Linked DNA regions of Stegostoma tigrinum. The protein of the gene in region 2 binds, or shares a complex with, the protein of the main gene of each other region. Links are inferred from orthologs where the notes say so. Each region holds a gene or a part of one and is shown on either strand. Other genes may lie near its edges.

Evidence for each region. The genes of interacting proteins can lie anywhere in the genome.
Region 1: abi1a (region 2) and wasf2 share a complex: the UniProt entries of both Homo sapiens proteins name them as parts of the WAVE2 complex. The link is inferred for Stegostoma tigrinum from reciprocal best matches to the Homo sapiens genes ABI1 and WASF2.

The regions. Positions count from the first base shown.
Region 1 is NC_081377.1:43,677,700-43,688,720, forward strand, and holds the start of wasf2 (wiskott-Aldrich syndrome protein family member 2), read right to left. Parts: upstream 4,831-11,021; 5' UTR 4,697-4,830; intron 1-4,696. UniProt on the Homo sapiens protein: Downstream effector molecule involved in the transmission of signals from tyrosine kinase receptors and small GTPases to the actin cytoskeleton. Promotes formation of actin filaments. Part of the WAVE complex that regulates lamellipodia formation.
Region 2 is NC_081355.1:123,346,512-123,356,533, forward strand, and holds the start of abi1a (abl interactor 1a), read right to left. Parts: upstream 4,707-10,022; 5' UTR 4,628-4,706; coding exon 4,511-4,627; intron 1-4,510. UniProt on the Homo sapiens protein: May act in negative regulation of cell growth and transformation by interacting with nonreceptor tyrosine kinases ABL1 and/or ABL2. May play a role in regulation of EGF-induced Erk pathway activation. Involved in cytoskeletal reorganization and EGFR signaling.

The DNA.
Region 1 (11,021 bases), on a different chromosome or scaffold from region 2:
CCTCCCACAGTCCAAAGATGTGCAGGTTAGGTGGATTGGCCTTGCTAAATTGCCCGTACTGTTCAGGGGTGTGTGGATTATACAGGGTAGTTCTGGGTGGGATGCTTCAAGGGTAGGTGTGGACTTGTTGGGCTGAAGGGCCTGTTTCCACACTGTAGGGGATCTAAGAATCTAATCTAAATAAGATCAGTTATAACTTTTGTTATTCATTTTGGTGAGCATCTGATTGGAATATCAATTATTATATATAAAAATTAGCCTTACTGCATGTGACAAACTAACTTCAAATTATACTGAAGGGAAGGAAAAACATGTTTTGAACATCTGCTGTCAATCTCACTTTGTGCTAGCTTTCACAGCAACATTTTGTACATTTGGAGTTACATAGTTTTCACTCAGTTAGCATTTACAAAAAATGCAGTACAAGCTGGCATATTTTTGTCACAGAGGTCAAAGATGATTGAATTTTTCAAATCCTATTTACCAGATTAATTATACAACTGCTTAATTTATGAAACAGTTTAGAGTTGCATGCCATGTATAGACTTTAGTAGATTCTGAAATTAAGATTTCAATATCAAGCGGTCTTAATTGAACAGATAACAATTTAGGAGTCAAACATCATAACTCCTGCACTACCTGCGACAATTAAAAACAACACAAAATGTAACCAACAAGGTTCGTCGTACTCCTCTTCTTAAAAGGATTGAGCATAAAATCATTGAGGAAACTACACAAAACAAAAAAACTTCCATTGTATGTAAACAGAAGTACATGCTGTAATCAAGAAACAAGCTAATGTTTCTTCATATAAACAAATTATCTAATTACATTTACCCCCGCTGTTCCTATTCTCTTTATCCACCTCTCCAATCTAATCTCAAAAGCTAACACAGCTCAGTATATCCAGCCAAATATTTCAGAGAGTCTGGTCAGCTTCATTATTCTCTTGTCTCAACAATTACAAAATTAATCGTTTATGCTTGTTACGCTAAGTTTATGATGTGCAAAGGTTATTAAATGCTACAGTCGAAACATTTGTATTTGCAAAAACACATCCCTTTAAGTTCATGAGATAATGGGAACTGCAGATGCTGGAGATTCCAAGATAATAAAATGTGAGGCTGGATGAACACAGCAGGCCAAGCCGCATCTCAGGAGCACAAAAGCTGACGTTTCGGGCCTAGACCCTTCATCAGAGAGCTCTGATGAAGGGTCTAGGCCCGAAACGTCAGCTTTTGTGCTCCTGAGATGCGGCTTGGCCTGCTGTGTTCATCCAGCCTCACATTTTATTATCCCTTTAAGTTCATGCCCATTTACAGCAAATCATAGCACAAGGATGCCCATCAAACCATTGTCTCTAGGTCCAGATAATATTTATAACTCCAGTCAAAATGCCTTTAAGTCATGTAATTTGCTACTTTCAGCATACAGACAGCAAATTCAGTGTCACACAACCTAGCCTACACATTAAATGAAGAATTAAAATATTTAACAGTGCCTCAAGAATTTATTGAGGTCAATGTTTACTGTAAAATAGAATGCATTGAAGAACATTTAAAAATATCTGATGTTGCCTGGTTTAATGACACTCTTCAGTTTACCTTATTTAAATACTATATAATTCAAAAACATTTTCCAGCTAACTTCGCAGAATTATGGTTAAGTAAAACTGCCTGGACACAGTAGGTAGCTGAAATTAGCACAGGTATTACATGTGCTCATCTAACGTTTTCTGATGGGCATACTAGTGTCAGCAGAGCAACAGTCTTCCTTAAATCCTGATAATGGTGTATATTCTGCAGGAACGTCAGCCATGGCAGTTTACAGCAGTCTCACTTCACTGTCATAAGGTATGAGATTCAGTTCCCACCCCAGGGCTTCAGGAGAAAAGTCAAAAGACTCAGTCCAATGCTGCACCAAGGGAGCACTGCTGTAACAAAGGTCACTATTTAATCACAAGTTGGCTGTTGTGTTTCCTACGCTATAAATGACTAGGCTTCAGAAGCAGAGATAACAAAAAATTTCAGAAAATTTTCTGAAAAAGGGTCTAGGCCCGAAACTTCAGCCTTCCTGCTCGACCTGTGTTCATCCAGCTCTACACCTTGTTATCTCAGATTCTCCAGCATTTGCAGTTCCTACTATCTCTGAAGGCTTCAGAAGAACTCCACTTGTCAGGTAGTCTTGAAATATGGTATATAAAGGCAGGTCTTTTTCCTTTATTTCATCCTCATGCTCCTATGAGGAAGCAAGTTAAAAGGTCCGGGCAGAAGAATTCTTAGATGACAGACTGGAGTGGATGGGGGTAACTATATTTTGCTTTTTCCTCTTTCCTTAACCCCCATGAGAAAAATCTGACAATGATGCTCCAGGGCTGTTAAATGTATTACCAAGGGATCCTTTAACTCTGAATCAGTGTCAATGACATTAAATACGAACATACCAAACAGAAATTTGGATTGTCCAAAGACTAATCAGAAATAGCCTGTGGCGAATAAAATTTCCATGTTGCCTTCAGAGCAACACATTTCTTAAAAATCTTAGAGACTTCAAATTCCAAGAGCTTACTATCCTTTGTAAAGGCCCCAAAGGCTTCAGCGAGTTAATGCCAAAGATTGCTTTTTAATTTACCACCCGAAATTTGGCTGTGGTGTAGAAGCCCACCTTGCCCTGAGATTCAAAGCAATAACACCAAGTTTTTAGGAGCAAACATCTTCAACATGAAGATATGCAACCTCCAACTTACTGCCAGCTCCTAAAGTAATTTAATTACTTACAAGTCCCACGATCAGAAGAAAAATAAACATTGTGGCCAGTATGCAGTCCAGGTCTGGTGTTTGGTCAATTAACAAGACAACTAACTAGATTACAAGTCAATTTCTTTCCCCCCACCCCGCTCCAGTCTTTTTATAGTAAATCTACACAACATTTTGAAGATTTCTGATTACATCAGATTCTGATGTGTTGCATCTGTTAATTGCAACTTCTGGCTCTAGAAAAAGCTTACATTTTTAGACTTCAAAACGCAGCTTGAAACTAATCAGATTCAAATGTCTTCCCTCAACATACATTACATACAAAAGCAATGGCTTGTGGGAAGACAAGAATAGCTGCGTACACACCCAAGTATGACTCAATGATTGGAATGGCTGTGCAAACGTTCAACATTATGACATGCCAACTTCTAACTTTGCAACAACATACCAGATTCTATTTTGACAAACAAATGTCTTTTTCTTGATAAGACAAGCCATGGGAAAGAAAGACATTTTGAAAGCTTCACAGTACTTTTTCTTTAAAAAACATTACACTAAAAACCAGGGCAACAAAATATATTTTCTTTAGGAAATTCCATCAAATTACAAAGTTCAACTTTATTTCAAATAATCCAATTGAGGAAGAATAAAAAGTATGAGAAATGAGGTGCCTTCCTTAACAGCAGACAGAAAGGTTAAATTCACCACAATCCGGAACAAAGTATTTCCCCCTTCCTCAAAATGAAAGTTTAAATGACCAAAGTGGGCAATTGCACAAAGCTTTGCCTGAAATTGAAACATTTTGGCAATTTTTCCCATCTCTTATGTCAAGAAAATCTAACCAGTTTATGGCCATTGATTTTCAACACCAAACAAATACAACTTTCAATAATGTCAAGGCAAATATTACTAAACTCTTAAATAGTACAAAGAACTGCAGATGCTAGAGATCTGAAACAAACAGAAGTTGCTGCAGAAACTCATGTGGCAGCATCTGTGGGAGAAAACAGTTAATGTTTCATGTCTTCTGTCCACTCTTCAGAACAGATTCTGAAGGAGCTACAGGACTCTGAATGTTGCGCTTTCTCTCCACCAATGCTGCATAAACTCATAGCTGCCAAACCTATCTCTGTTTTTGTTTTTTGCAAAGCCTTCTTTTCCTCAATTATTTTCAGTTGCAGGCCCCAGGATGAGTCCTCAATGCTGATTGATGTCAACAGGGTTCAATTTTTGCACTGGTTGTAGTGGTATAAGAGGCCATTGGGCCCATTGTATCTGCACCAGCTCAATAAACTAGCATCATTACCTCACGCCAACCTCCAGCTTTTCTATCATTTCCTAGCACATTATTTTCATCTAAATAATCAATCATTCAGTGCCCTGTTGGGTGGGGGGAGGCAGCGAGGGGCGGGGGTGGGGGGGTGGAAGCGGTGAGGGGTGGGGTGGAGGTGGAAGCGGTGAGGGAGGGGGTGGGTGAGGGGAGGCGGGGAGGGGGGGAGAGGGCTGGAGGCGGAGGGGGGGTGGAAGTGTAAGCGGTGAGGGGGGGGGATGGGTGAGGGGGGGAGAGGGCTGGAGGCGGTAGGGGGGGGGATGGGTGAGGGGAGGCGGGAGGGATGGGTGAGGGGAGGCGGGAGGGATGGGTGAGGGGAGGCGGTGGGGGGGTGGGGAGGGGAGGCGGTGGGGGGGGGAGGGCTGGAGGCGGTAGGGGGGTGGGGAGGGCTGGAGGCGGTAGGGGGATGGGTGAGGGGAGGCGGTGGTTGGGGGGGGTGAGGGGAGGCGGTGGGGGGGGGGGGGTGGGTGACACGGCTGCCCCCGGCTCCGGGTTGAACGCTCACTATTCGGCACAAACTGAAGCCGCGGCCCACCACACCAAGTTCGAAACCTCCGGGGCCGTAGCCCGAAACGGCCCAGATGAGAAGACGTGACAGACAGAAACTCACTCGAACTGATTGCCGACGCGAACCCGCATCTTAGAAGACAACCGCCATCCGCCCTGATTCCCCCCAACTCTCCACCATAGCCACACCCACACAGGGGATTCCAGATCCGCTTCCGGTACATCCGCATTCTGATTGGACAACGCAGCCGGCAATCATACTGACAGCACACGTTTGGTGGTGTGAGCGTGTATCCGCGTTTGATCCGGGAGAAACCATTACGGATGGAGGAGGGAGAAAAATATTTAATAACAATGAGATATACACTTAAAACAGGGGTAGCTCTTTTAATGCTTCATTGTTCCTGGTAAAAAATTAAAATCAAATTTTGCTAAGTCAGGACGGGACAAGAGGTTGACTAGAGAATTTCTTCTGGGACCTGTATATATTACGGTTTACCCCTCTTCATTGGGCGTTATGGTCTTTTCCAAATGTTGCACATACCTCAACAGGTCTGAGCAAAACCTGCAAAAATCGGGGAGGAAACACTGTCAGATTACAGAGAGGGGGGGGGGGGGGGAGAAACTGTCAGATTACAGAGAGTGGTGGGGGGGGGGAGAAACTGTCAGATTACAGAGAGTGGGTGGGGGGGAGAAACTGTCAGATTACAGAGAGTGGGGGGGGGAGAAACTGTCAGATTACAGAGGGGGGAACACTGTCAGATTACAGAGAGTGGGGGGGGGAGAAACTGTCAGATTACAGAGTGAGGGGAGGGGACACTGTCAGATTACAGAGTGTGGGGGGGGGAGAAACTGTCAGATTACAGAGAGTGGAGGGGGACACTGTCAGATTACAGAGTGTGGGGGGGGAACACTGTCAGATAACAGAGAGTGGGGGGGAGGCACTGTCAGATTACAGAGTGTGGGGGGGGAACACTGTCAGATTACAGAGAGTGGGGGGGAGGCACTGTCAGATTACAGAGTGTGGGGGGGGGACACTGTCAGATTACAGAGAGTGGGGGGGAGGCACTGTCAGATTACAGAGTGTGGGGGGAACACTGTCAGATTACAGAGAGTGGGGGGGAGGCACTGTCAGATTATGGGGGGGAACACTGTCAGATTACAGGGGGGAGGGGGACACTGTCAGATTACATAGAGTGGGGGGGCACTGTCAGATTACGGGGGGGAGACACTGTCAGATTACGGGGGGGAGACACTCAGATTACCGAGGGGGAGACACTGTCAGATTACAGAGAGTTGGGGGGGACACTGTCAGATTACAGAGAGTGGAGGGGGACACTGTCAGATTACAGAGTGTGGGGGGGGGAACACTGTCAGATTACAGAGAGTGGAGGGGGACACTGTCAGATTACAGAGAGTGGGGAGGGGGAGACACTGTCAGATTACAGAGAGTGGGGGGCGGACACTGTCATATTACAGAGAGTGGAGGGGGGACACTGTCAGATTACAGAGAGTTGGGGGGGGACACTGTCAGATTACAGAGAGTCAGGGGGGAACTGTCAGATTACAGAGAGTGGGCGGTGGGGGGGGGGGAAACACTGTCAGATTACAGAGAGTGGGGGGTGTTGGGTGGGATACACTGTCAGATTACAGAGAGTCAGGGGGAGACACTGTCAGATTACAGAGAGTGGGGGGGACACTGTCAGATTACGGGGGGGAGACACTGTCAGATTACGGGGGGGAGACACTCAGATTACAGGGGGGGAGACACTCAGATTACAGGGGGGGACACTGTCAGATTACAGAGAGTGGGGGGAAACACTGTCAGATTACAGAGAGTGGGGGGGACACTGTCAGATTACAGACAGTGGGGGGGAACACTGTCAGATTACAGACAGTGGGAGGGGAACACTGTCAGATTACGGGGGGAACACCATCATATTACAGAAAGTGGGGGGTGGAACACCGTCAGATTACGGGGGGGGGAACACCATCAGATTACAGAGAGTGGGGGGGAAACACCGTCAGATTACAGTGAGTGGGGGGGGGGGAACTGTCAGATTACAGACGGGGGGATCACCGTTAGATTACAGAGAGGGAGGAGGGACACCGTCAGATTATAGAGGGGGGGGAACACCTTCAGATTACAGAGAGGGGGGAACACTGTCAGATTACAGAGACGGGGGGAACACCGTCAGATTACAGAGGCCGGGGGACACCATCAGATTACACGGTGGGGCGGGGGGGAACACCGTTAGATTACAGGAGGGGATGCACTATCAGACTACATAGTTGGGGGACACCATCAGATTCCATACGGGGTGGGAACACCGTCAGATTACAGAGGGTTGGGGGACACCATCAGATTACAGGGGGGGAACACCGTCAGATTACAGAGAGGGGGACGCTGTTTGATTACAGAGAGAGGGGAACACTGTCAGATTACAGAGGGGGGGAATACTGTCAGATTACAGAGGGGGAAACACCGTCAGATTACAGAGAGGGGGACACTGTCTGATTACAGAGAGAGGGGAACACTGTCAGATTACAGCGGGGGGGAACACTGCCAGAAATACGGCGGGTGGGAGAATACTGCCAGAAATACAGAGTTGGGGGGAGCACGGTCATATTGTAGAGGGGGGGAATCACTGTCAGATTACCGGGGGGGGGGGGGGCGGGGGGGGGGGGATTCTACCAGATCACACAGCAGGACAGGGGGTGCCAGAACAGCCAGATTACAGAGGGTGGGAATCTACCAGATCACAGAGAGAGGGGATTCTGTCAGATCAAAGAAATAGAGGAGGAGACCGCCTGATTGCAGAGGGATGGGATATTGTCAGGTCACAGAGAGAGCAGGATCTACCAGATCACACATAGTGGGGGAAGGGTGGACTGTCAGATAACAGAGTGACGGAATATACTAGATCACAGATTGTGGGGGCAGGGACCATCAGATCACAGAGAGTAGGGCTATCTACCAGATCACTGGTAACGGAGAGACTTTCAGATCACAGAGAGAGAATGGGAACTGCCAGATCATATAGCTGCCAGGATATATATATAACTGCCAGGAAAGTTTAAGGAAGATATGCGTGGATAGTTCTTTACACAGAGGGTGGTGGGTGCCTGGAACGCGTTGCCAGCGGAGGTGGTAGACGCAGACACGTTAGCATCTTTTAAGATATATCTGGACAGGTACATGGATGAGCAGGGAGCAAATGGACACAGACCCTTAGAAAATAGATGACAGGTTAGACAGAGGATCTCGATCGACGCTGGCTTGGAGGGCCGAAGGCCTGTTCCTGTGCTGTAATTTTCTTTGTTTTCTTCTTTGTTGTATCACCGAGAGAGGTAAGGATCTACCAGATCACAGATAGTGGGGAGGCTGTCAGATCACAGAAAGTGATTCGGGAGGCGGGATCAACCAAATTGAAGATAGTGGGTGTGGGGATTGTCAGATAACAGGGCAGCATGGATAACTGCCAGATCATACAGAGAGAGTGTGGGGATTGTCAGATCACAAGAGAATGAGGGATATACCAGCTCACACAGAGAGTAGGGGAAGTGTCAGATGACAGAAGCAGAGCATGTGGGAGGCTATTAGATCACAGAGAAAGAACAAGGGACCTACCAGATCACAGACAGAGAGAGAGAGAGCATGGGGAAAGTGTTAGGTCACAGACAGAGAGATACAGAGAGGGAGGATAGGAGACAGAATGATGATAGAGCTTTGTGGCTCAGACTGGAGGCCTGTGATTAGCAGTGTGCCATGGGGATCAGTGCTATGTTTACTGTCGTTCATCATTTACAGAAATGATTTGGATAAGAATATAGGAGGCATGGCTAGTACTTCTGCAGATAACGCCAAAACAGTGTAGAAGGTTACCTCAGAGTGCAACAAGATCTTGATCAGCTGGGCCAATGGGCCAAGGAAGGTCAGAGGGATATTAATTCAGATGAATGTGAGGTATTGCATTTTGGTTAGACAAACCAGGACAGGACTTACACAGTTAATGGTATAGTCCTGGGGAATGTTGTAAGGCAGAAAGATCGAGGGTACAGCTACATAGTTCTTTGAAAGTGACCTCACAGGTAGAAAGGGTGGTGAAGAAAGTGTTTGGTACGCTTACCTTCATTGGTCAGAGCATTGAGTATAGGAGTTGGGACATCATGTTACAACTGTACCAGACGTTGGTAAGGCCACATGTGGAGAAATTCATACAATTCTAGTTGCCCTGCTATGGGAAGGATTTTATTAAATTGGAAATGGCACAAGAAAGATTTTCAGGAATGCTATCGAGACTGGGAGGTTTGAGGTAAAGGAGAGGCTGCATAGGCTGGGATTTTTGTTCCCCGGAGCATTGGAGGCTGAGAGGTGACCTCATAGAGGTTTATATAATAATGAAGGACATCCTTAAGGTGATTAGCCAAGGTCTTTTCCCCACGGTTGGGGAGTAGAGGGCATAGCTTTGAGGTGTCAGGGAAAAGACTTAAAAGGGACCTTAGTGGCAACTTTTTCACACAGAGGGTGCCAACTACATGGAACAAGCTGCCAGAAGTAGTAGTAGAGAAGAGTACAATTACAACACTTAAAAAGACATTCGGACAGGAAGGGTTTAGAGGGATATCAGCTAAATCGCTGGAAAATGTGACTAGTTCAGTTTAGGAAATCTGGTTGGCATGGATGTTTTGGGCCGAAGGGCCTGTTTCCGTGCTGTATGGCTCTGTGACTCTATGACTGTCAGATCACAGAGAGAGAGAGAGAGAGAGAAAGAGTGAAGTGGCACTGTCAAGTCACAGAGGGTGCGAGAGAAAGAGAAAGAGTGGGGGCTGCAAGAACGCAGAGAGAAAGAGAGAGAGTGAGGTCTGCAAGAACGCAGAGCGAGTGAAGTCTGCAAGAATGCAGAGAGAGAGGGGGCTGCAAGAACGCAGACAGAGAGAGAGTGGGGCTGCAAGAATGCAAAGAGAGAGAGTGAGGTGTGAGAGAGAGAGTGAGAAAGAGAAAGAGTGGGGGCTGCAAGAACGCAGAGAGAGAGACCGAGGGCTGCAAGAATGCAGAGAGAGTGGGGCTGCAAGAACGCAGAGAGAAAGCGAGAGAGTGAGGTCTGCAAGAACGCAGAGAGAGAGGGGGCTGCAAGAACGCCGACAGAGAGAGAGTAGGCTGTAAGAACACAGACAGAGAGAGAGTGGGGCTGCAAGAATGCAATGAGAGAGAGTGGGATGTGAGAGAGAGAGAGAGAAAGAGAAAGAGTGGGGGCTGCAAGAACGCAGAGAGAGAGACCGAGGGATGCAAGAATGCAGAGAGAGTGGGGGCTGCAAGAACGCAGAGAGAAAGCGAGAGAGTGAGGTCTGCAAGAACGCAGAGAGGGGGCTGCAAGAATGCAGAGAGAGTGGGGGCTGCAAGAACGCAGAGAGAAAGCGAGAGAGTGAGGTCTGCAAGAACGCAGAGAGGGGGCTGCAAGAATGCAGAGAGAGAGGGGGCTGCAAGAACACAGACAGAGAGAGAATGGGGGCTGCAAGAATGCAGAGAGAGAGAGTGAGGCCTGCAAGACCACAAGACGTCCTATATATGGTTATGGCCTGTTAATGTTCATTAACAAGAATCTAGGCCTTGACTCACTGTATTTCAAAACTAACTTTAGTAGATATTTAAAAAATTCTAGATGTGTGACAGGATATGTGACACCATTGAAATCATTAAAAAGTACCGCTGTAATTTGTGTTACATTTCAGCCTTCTGTCTGACGTTTTCCATTCATGCTTCACATTAGAAGTTACTGTTCATTGCCAACTAGTACCTCATATGTTAAGAGAAGCATTGTATTCCCAGGGTAAGCAATCAAACCCTTTATATCTGTTTTGAAAACAATATGAACCATTCTTGTAACTTCTTGTCTTGACAAAGACATTGGAAAGTTCTATTCTGATGGCTACACTATTTAATTAATATTATTAATTAAGTTAATTAATTAGTGTACTAATTAATATTTATTAAGGGACAGAAATAACACACAGAACAATTGGAACCAATAGTACTTTGTATTTACACAGCACCTTAAAAGTGGTAAAGATACTTTACAGAAACATTGAAAAGACAGATTTGACACTTATCCAGATATGAAGTAGTTCTAAGGAGTGTCTTTAATTAGCAGGAAGAGGCCTGGATGGGGAGATTTAAGAAAAGAATTCTGGAGATGAAGGCGGAGCAGTTAATATTGGGCAAAAAAACACTAAAATAACAGCAGATGCTGGGAATCATAAACAAAAAGAGAGATTACTGGAAAAGCTCAGCAGGTCCGGCAGCTTCTACTGGGTGAAATCAGAGTTAATGTTTCTGGTCCAGTGATCCTTCTTCTGAGTTTTTCCAGCATTTCGGTTTTTGCTGTTGATATTGGTATTGCTGAAGAGGCCAGAAATGAAGGAGCACA
Region 2 (10,022 bases):
AGCCTCTGGCAACTGTCTGTGTTGAGTTTGCATTGTCCCCTTGTCTGCTTGGGTTTCCTCCAAGTGCTGTTTCCTCCCACAGTCCAAAGATGTGCAGGTGAGGTGGATTGGCCATGCTAAATTGCCCATGTTCAGGGAGTTGTAGATTAGGTGGGTTATAGGGTGATGACGGCATCAGTGTGGGTGAGATGCTCTGAGGTTCTGTGTAGACTTGTTAGGCCAAAGGGCCTGTTTCCACACTGTACGGATTCTATTCTATGGGACACTGCAGGTTGCCTAAAGAGATCAAAAAAGATATGATACCAGAAATGAGAGGTTGTTCCTTTCAGGAACACTTGAATAGACTGTGGTTCTTACCTTCAGCAGAGGAGAGCTGGCACAGATCATCACTAAATAAAACTAAAAAGGAACTTAGGAAAGGCCTTTCTGTTTAAGACTGTGGTCACAATGTAGAATACTGAACTTGTTTTGTAGCAGGCAATTGGCAAGGACATTAATGAGGAAAACAAGGCAGTCATTACAAAGGAAGATGACTACAAGAATTAGTTAAGGATGGATGGAAGCTCACATGGTGCACAAGCACTGGCAAGGGGTTGTACAGCAGCTAAAATGGCCCACTTCTATGCTATAAACACCATGTGATATCATTTTTCAAACTGGCTTGCACAAATTAACTCCTCTCTCCAATACAGTACTGCCATATATCCTGCTTCAACCGAGAAATTAAATAAAGCTTGCACAAATTGCTATACAAGTTACGCTGGCTGTGACAATAGCAGAAAAAGGTGCAAAACGTTTCTGGTTAAAAACAATTCAGCAAAAAAAAAGTGTTCATAGATTGAATTACTACACAATACAGACTAATGGAGGAGATAAATTTAAAACTATTCGGTTAGAATTAGAGAAGTGTAACAGTGCACATGGAATTGGGTAGCAATGGGAAGCGTCAAGATGCATTATCAAATTTGGTTGACCAAGACTTGCGAATACTGCTGAACCAATCAAAACATTAGACTAAAATATCCAGCGGACCATACGAGGAGGGCTGATATTAAAAGTGAAGATATTTGGCAGTGGTGTACATTCTGTGTACAATATGCTTGCTTGCAGGATTAAACTACCGCTAAGTAAAATTACAGTTAACTTTCAAAAATATTGCAGACACACTGCCAGACACCTACTCTGATAAGATAAGCAAAAGGATCGAAATTTGCTGGGAGATGGAAGTGGGAAGTACCAGTACTTGGAAATAAACAGACATCTGACTAACTATCCCCTGATACGCCAGTAAGGAATATTCTATCTTGCATTAAAAGATACAAAATCTGATTCACAAGAATAATTGATGCTATGGCTGACAGGAGAACAAAGATGACAAACAGCAGCTTGATCCACATTCTGCACTGAAAGAAACTGATTGTTTTTGCAGTTTACATGTGAGCTTGAAATTACTGTTGAGCAATACAACTTTATAAAAGTAGATTTTCGAAAAAGACAAGTAGCAGCTTGAGCAACCTACTGACTACCTTCAACTGTGGACTGATCACCTACAATGATTCTAAATAAGGGGACACAGCCACAATAAGCCGCTCATGCAGTCAGAATACTAAAAGTTGACCGAGTTAAAAAATAAATTAGAACATATCTTGCAATCTTTGGAAGGAAGGGAAATTTAAAGAATGTCCAAGATTATTCTGTAGATTGGAACATTTAGCCAAATGAGATATACATTTTACACAGGTACCAAAGATGCAAGATTTCAGTCAAAAGGTATTAAAAGGGAATATGACTGTATGGTTTAAGGACAAAGCAACAGTCAATGAAATCTGTTTTAATAAAATGCAAAAACAGAAACAATGATCAGTTTTTTTTAAATGTATGAACTAACTATTTGGGGCATGAACTAGGCAAAGCTGTAAGCCACTGATTAGATAAAGTCAACATGATTCGACAAAGGGTTTTTTTAAAACGTGGAAACCATCAGGATAATTAACAAAAACGTGCAGATACAGCACATTCATTTTGAGGATGCGCTCGATAAGATCCCAGAGAACAATTTGTTCCACAAGATAAGAATTCACAGGATCAGCACGGTCAAGAATCAGAAAAGAAAAATAAATAAGTCATTATTGGGTGGCAGGATGGAACTTAGTTGAGCACCACAAAGATCAGTGTTTGGTCTCATACTTACAATTCATACTGTGACAAGAAGAACTGTGTATCCTGGTGTACTGAAGACACAAGCGACGGTGGGTGAGCTGGGGAAGATCTAAGATGCCTCTATAGGATACAATCAACTTAAAACTATTGAAAGTGCATGATGAAGTACAAGTGCCAAGTACTCGGAGGGGAACTGATAATTCTCAATCTCTACATTGATTCTGAACTACTTCCATTGACACTACATCACCAATGTGCTCTATATTCACTTATCTAATGGCTGAATCTTTCCTCAAGACATGACAAGTCAAAAAGCTTTGTCTACATTGCTTCTACTCTGCATAAAATGCAAGTATATCCATGCCATTCACCAGACTCATTAGCTCCAAAAATCAATGCTTCACTTCTCAAAGCCTCATGTTTAAATACTCCCATAAGCATCTCCAACTCCAATTCTCAAATCATTTGGATTCTTCACACTGAAATCTTCAATTATCAAGATCCCAAACTCTGGAAGTTCACTTGCTCTAAAAATAAAACTCTGAAAGCTCGGTACCAACTTTTGACTTTACACTTGCTTAGAAATACAACTCAAAAATACTTCAATTTTTAAAAAGTGCTAAAAACATGGTCCCGAGGTCACGCAGAGAAAGGCTACGAAGTTATCTATATAAAAATGACAGACGACAGAGCAAAAAAAATTGCACTGAAACCCTAAAAGTGCGACAGTATGAGCAAAAATGTAGAAGCAATTTAAGGTGCGTGTTATCCAGTACAACAGAAAGAGATTCAAATTAAAATCATGACTGCAAAACAAAGTAGCTTCAAAGTGGTCACAACTTCGTGAAATGGAAATAAGAAAGCACTTTATGCAGCCAGAGAAAACTAAGACATTTGAAGCAACTATCAAGAGTATTACAAAAAAAGGACAGATACTCAGCACCATCGTGATGCTCGTATAGAAATAAAACCTTAAATTGACACAGCCTGGGTCAAATAGCTTCAGTTTCCTTATTTTATGATAAGCAAGTTACCCAAAAACAAGTGCAATTCAGACAAACTGGAATTGAGCACAAGGTTTGAGAATCACAAGTTCATCTGCAAAGCAGGATACTTCATACTAGAGTGTTTATTGACATATGTAAACCTATCTGTCGTTGCCCGGACCACTACAGCTGACAACTGCAAGTCGTGTTGCAACTTCTATCCGCCTCCGACTATCATATTTCCGTCCATGGAAAAAAACAAACGTTACATAGGTTTCCTCCGTATCTGGCGCATCAAACTAACTTTCGGGTGGAGTTTGGGATCTCATCCTGTTACAAGTGATCTCGGAGTTTAAAAAAAACACTGCGGCTGAACATGAAGCTGCGAACACCCACATTTGCAAGGAATTTACTAAGACAAAAACGAAGAGCGAGGATAGGAAAACCTACTTCATGGCGAGGGGTGGGGGCTTTTGACGCCTTTAAGACTAGTTCCACACTAAACTGGTGTCGGAAAGACTACTTCACCGCACAGTTTCCCCGAGGTTGCCCAACCCAGAGTAAAGGGAGTGTTGCTCAATTGATATAGCTATCATTTCAGCATGTCGGACTACAAAAAACCTATACTTAGCTTTCAGACAGACAAATCACATGAAAGAAACACCGAAATTTATAACACACGCACGCAAACAGATCAATGGAAAGATCCCCTGGCTTCACACCGAATTAAAACAAAGCGGGGACGAACTGCTTGCCTCAAGAACAAAAGCTGTTTATAAAAATCAATTCAAATTGTAGAGCGGGTGCCTAAAGAGCACAGGCGGACCCGTGGGAGGGGTGGAAACTATTGGGAGAGGGAGAGCCCCGGCCCACATACCCGGGGAATATGAGTCAGACAGCGCGGCACACCCTCTGGGACACACAGAGACTGGCGTTAAAAAGTGTGCTGGTAAATCCAGGGAACTACTGACGGAACAGGCTGACTCCTTCACAAAGTGAGTTTAAAAACAGAAGAGAGCTAGAGAGAGACCACCACCCCTCTCAGCCCCGAGCAAAACCTGACATTATCGAGGCCCCGGGACGGGGGCGGATAAGTGTCCAACCGTTCACGGCCTGGGGAAATCGAAGTGAAGAAAGAAGAGGTGTGTGTGTCTGTCTGTCTGTACTGGTCTCAGGGGGGTGGTTGCAGGAGTGGGGGCGAGGGATCGAATTCACGGCCCAGCCCGTATCCGGGCAGAGTTACTTGCCACTGGGACGGTGTGTGTGTGAGAGAGAGAGAGAGCGGGACACGGCAGGGGAGTTGTAACCGCCAGCGGTGCCGCTCGTCCGCTTTTCCCGTTACCACTGCCCCCGCCAGCTCGTACCTGGATATAGTTGTTCTCGCAGTAATCGGCCACACGGCCCAGGTTCTGGTAACTCTCTATCAGCGCCCTCTTGCCGGCAGGGATTTCCTCCTCGAGTAACATCTGCAGCTCTGCCATCTTACATCTTTCTGCATCGCTTTATGACTCCTCGCTCAAGACCGCCTTGGTTACACCCTCCCAACCGCGCGAGGCACGCCGGGATCCCATAGCCTCCCTCTCACCCACCGACCGCAAAGTCATCTGGGACTTGTAGTTTGAGATGATGGGAACTGCAGATGCTGGAGAATCCAAGATAATAAAATGTGAAGCTGGATGAACACAGCAGGCCGAGCAGTATCTCAGGAGCACAAAAGCTGACGTTTCGGGCCTAGACCCTTCATCAGAGAGGGGGATGGGGAGAGGGTTCTGGAATAAATACGGAGAGAGGGGGAGGCGGACCGAAGATGGAGAGAAAAGAAGATAGGTGGAGAGGAGAGTATAGGTGGGTAGGTATGGAGGGTATAGGTCAGTCCAGGGAAGACGGACAGATCAAGGAGGTGGGTTGAGGTTAGTAGGTAGGAAATGGAGGTGCGGCTTGAGGTGGGAGGAAGGGATGGGTGAGAGGAAGAACAGGTTCGGGAGGCAGAGACAGGCTGGGCTGGTTTTGGGATGCAGTGGGTGGGGGGGATGAGCTGGGCTGGTTGTGTGATGCCGTGGGGGGAGGGGACGAACTGGGCTGGTTGTGGGATGCGGTGGGGGAAAGGGAGATTTTGAAGCTGGTGAAGTGCACATTGACACCATTGGGCTGCAGGGTTCCCAAGCGGAATATGAATTGCTGTTCCTGCACCCTTCGGGTGGCATCCTAGTGGCACTGCAGGAGGCCCATGATGGACATGTCATCTGAAGAATGGGAGGGGGAGCTAAAATGGTTTGCGACTGAGAGGTGCAGTTGTTTATTGCGAACCGAGCGGAGGTGTTCTGCAAAGCGGTCCCCAAGCCTCCGCTTGGTTTCCCCAATGTAGAGGAAGCCACACCGGGTACAATGGATACAGTATACCACATTGGCGGATGTGCAGGTGAACCTCTGCTTAATATGGAAAGTCATCTTGGGGCCTGGGATGGGGCTTGTTGTAGTCTCTCTCCTCTGCCAATGACCTGGAGATGCCGGACACTGGAAAGTGTGCCTGCGGGGATAAAACTGGCTTTTGAGGTACCAGTGGTAATGTCCTTCATTCTGGCTCAGGACATCCATGTCCAAGTCCCACTTCCTCCAGACGTGTGTAGTAACATGCCTGAACAGGTTAATTACAAAATATGCTGGAGAAACAACACAGGTCTGGCAGTATCTGTAGGGAGCGAAATAGAGTTAACTTTTCAAGTCCAGTGACCTTTCAGCTTAGAACTGAAGACACCCGATGAAGTGTGGAATATATCCTGATTTGAGTTCTGTTGACTAGTCAAAATCGTGGAACACCCATTCTTAACAGCACTGTAGACAACATAGATTAAAGAAGCACGCTATTACCTTCTCAAAGTCAATTAGTGATGGGTAATAGATATGGGCTCTGCCAGTGATCTTTACATGCCATGAATTAATTTTCAAAAAAACTAACAGATATAAACATTAACTGTATCCCTCCTTAGCTGGTAAAGGTAATTAGTTGCAATTTTATTATCATTTCCTTTAACTTCAAGAACAGAATTATTAATAGACCTTGGAAATGGTTATGTCCACTGGATGGGGAGATCATAAATAAGTAGGTCACAAAATTAATTTTAATGTGGTGCAATTTAAAAGATTCGTACAAAAGACATTAGTTGGAATTATGCAGATAACAAGTCAATTATGGTCAGTCTTCCCAGTAATGGTAGCATAAATATATATTATACACACACACTGGTCAACAGACAACAACATAGACCTTGGTTCTCCATTATGAATGACGAATATAGTCACCTTTGGTTGGGTCCACTGCAGTACGTGTGAATGAAGCACTCCTTTGGACATTTCCTCTTTTGCCCACAGTCAAATATTCTGCTGACACTAATTGTTCAGTTTCAAATGCAAAAACTATATATTTGGCTGAGCTACTTCCTGGGTAGCTGTCAGAGGACCGAGAACCATATTCCATGGGCCACCCCCAAGCTTTTAGAAGGTCAGGCAGGAAGACATAATGGAGCGGGAGGCAAAGTTTCTCTTTCCCAATGGCAGGTTAAATTTATGGTATTAGCTTCTCAGAACCTTTCAACTGGGTTGGCTTTCAGGAACCTTTTTTATATTTTTTAGCAGTCTATGAATACTCATTAATGTCCCAGGAGATGGTAGTTACATTCATGGATGCAACCTTTTTAGCCAAAAACAGGAAGCATGTGTTCACAAACCTGACTATGTACACAAGAGGAGTGCTTGGCAGAGTAGACTGCTTCCTCCGAGCCCTGTGAATAAACCAGTAATCCATTACGTGGCTGCTTCAGAAATAAAATATCATGCAAACACTTCCGTGGACTAAAGAGTCCCAATGTTCAGCTGGTGATGACAAGGCACATTCATAGCCCATCAAGTTTATTACATTTAAGCTCCTCCAGTGTTAATGGTTTTGTTCCTTCCCAGGGACCAGCGGTGGTAAATACCTTTGCTGAAATAGTAGTCCCAGGACATGGCAGCAGTAGCTACGTCAGCCAGAACAAGGCACCAGTTGCTTTTGTGCAGTGGGCTCAGCGTTGAGTTTGAGCCGAGTTCAGAACCCAGCAGCTTCAGCAGACTCATGGTGATGATGGCAAAGGACCCAATGTGATGCCAAAGACTGGTGACATGGTTCCAGCGGTGGTGTCATGGCTCCAGGCCATGGCTGGACTTAGATACCTGACAGTAGCATTGCGGCTGCAGCACTATGCACCTGAATGTTCGCAGATTGAGGGATGCACATTGTGGCTTTGTTTTTCTGTCAGCAAGGACCCATGACAAAGTGTCCTGTCTTTTGTATACTAAGATGGTGCCGGATGATGATGATGGCAACTTTGTATGTTTCTCACTGTATTCTTGTATTCCTGTAGATGAATGTACATGACGATAAAATCTAAATCTAAAGACCCTCCTTGTTCAACAGCTCATAAGAACGAACATACATTGGCCATCAAGTTTATTGTAGTCAGATTATTACAGTGTTAGAGAGGATGGCTGATCAGTCCCACCAGCCGACCTAATCGAGGTAGTCACACTGTTCATTAAAACAAATCTGATTAGAACAGGCAGGCATAATAAAACTTAAAAGGTGAATGAACATAAATGGAACGTTAACTTAAACACGTGTGTAACCTAAATGGGGCATCAATAAAAAAGGTTCTCAGAAAAGTGAGCTGGATGTAAAGGGAAGCTAGAGAAAGCAACTTAAGTGCCTTTAAAATCATGGGCAGTGGAAGGATCCTCTGAAATGGAGGCAGCGAGAGAGAGAGCAAGAAAGAGCAGAACTGAATAAGGCAGAGTTTATCTGAGTCGAGGCATCATAATTTCTGTGGGAGTGGGATCAAGGAGAAGAACAGGAATGTCAAAGGAAATAGTAAGAAAGGGAAATTGAAAGATCGCAAAGTAAAAACAAAACAGGAAATGGCAAGGCCATTCATGGTAATGGGGTTGGGGGGAGAATTGTACTCAAAATGGGGAGAGTGTGGGGGATGCAATCCAAAGATAAATGTACAGCCCCATCTTTCCAAAACTCAAATTTCAAAAGAGGGTTTCCAAGAATTTCAGGGATTAATGCAGAACCAATTGCAGCCTCATGTATATGAATGTTAATGGCATTGTGATGAAACAGTTATGTTGTCTGATCCTGCAGAAGTGTGGGGCTGCATCACAGGGTGCTATGATGGCAAATAGATTTACATTGCGTTAATTGGCATCGGCATGCAAGGTACCTTTAAGATAAAAAGCACAGATGTCTCTGATGTACCAAAAGGAAAGCTGAGAATCAGTCATGGGTGATGGACATTGCACCTATCCATGTACAAGGTATCGCCCAAGGAGGAGCAGCCTGATAACGGTCTAAAGTAGTCATTGAATATGACAAGATGGTAAATGCAAAGCAAACATCTAATTACTGTCCTTTAATCACATATCAATAATTCCACTTTACATGTTGAAACCCAGCAGCAATATTAGCATTTATAAGACTAAAAAGATGAAGAAGGAGATGAAAAGGAAAGAAAAAACACAGAATCATAGACATGAAGCTCAGGGGCTCCTGCTGTCGACAAACACGCAGCCTGGTAAGAGGGAGTCCAGTGACTACAGAAACAGTCTATAGAGAAAGGGTATATGGAAAGCATTGCAGCTACCTCCAGATAAGTAAATGACATCGTTACATTTCTGGAGTAGTTGTGATCTACATCTGGTACCTCCTGAGGAAGATATGCATTTGCACAGCTTGGAAGGAACTGCTCTGTCTGTGGGCCTGAAGATCATGGTTCCTTTCAAAATTCAAATGGGGACTTGTGTGATATTTCACACAAATCTTATTGATGCCCTTTACAGGAAGGCAACCCAGTTTCTCTAATTCATCATTGACCTGAACAGCATAGCTGCCTGAACTGTGCAAAGTGCAGTTATCGCTTGGTTTGCTCAGGTGAAAGGACCCAACAACTCTGCACAAATGGTGCTCAGAGTTCCCTGCTAGTCAGATTCGTGAACAGGGTAGGGTTTCAATCCCTCAATGACCAGCTCCTTTATGACCACTGGCAACAATTCTTGTAAATGTGTGCCCACTAACAAGTGAACTGGCACAATGCTTACACTGTGCACAACATCTAGCTTCCTCCAATGTTGGATCACCATCTCCAGAACTGGGCCTTGATGATAAAAGGTGCTTCCAGAAAGCATGATAATGATTCCAGTATGGAACCCTCAGACTGGTGACATAAATGTGTACAAAACAGCCCATGCATCAATTAGTGCCATCATTGAACAGAAATTTCCTCTTAACCATGTGCCTTTCTCTTCCCATAAAAGTGGAGGAGGTTGTCAAATCCATACCATTGCAGCACATATCTGTTGTTACAATGTGCACACAGGCAAAATGAGAATTAAATTGTGTCCAGGGTGAGTAGGATGTCATAGAATGAATAATTCTGAATTGTCTAAAACATTGTGCTAAGTTTTCAATTTATTAAACTTAAGTTTTGATTTGTACTAGAGGTTCTACATATGAAATTCTTAATTTAGTTGTAAGTAACTTGGGGTTGCTTTGTCTTTCAATACTGTACTGATCTGCTTAAAACAGGACAGTTGAGATCAAGACCTGCTTGGTATGTCGGAAATTGTCATTTCTCACCAATGCAAAATGATGTGAAACACACGGAATGTTTTCTATGCTTCGGTTTTCCCTCTGACTTGTTCTTCAGTTGTTTCTTCCTGAAGATAGTGCAAGTCTGAAGGGTGGCATTCTGCAAGCAGCGAGCATGCTATGATTCTGTATTTCATGCTGGGGTACTAGCAATATTCTTAGAACTTGTATGAAAGTAGGTGTTATCAAGGTAATCA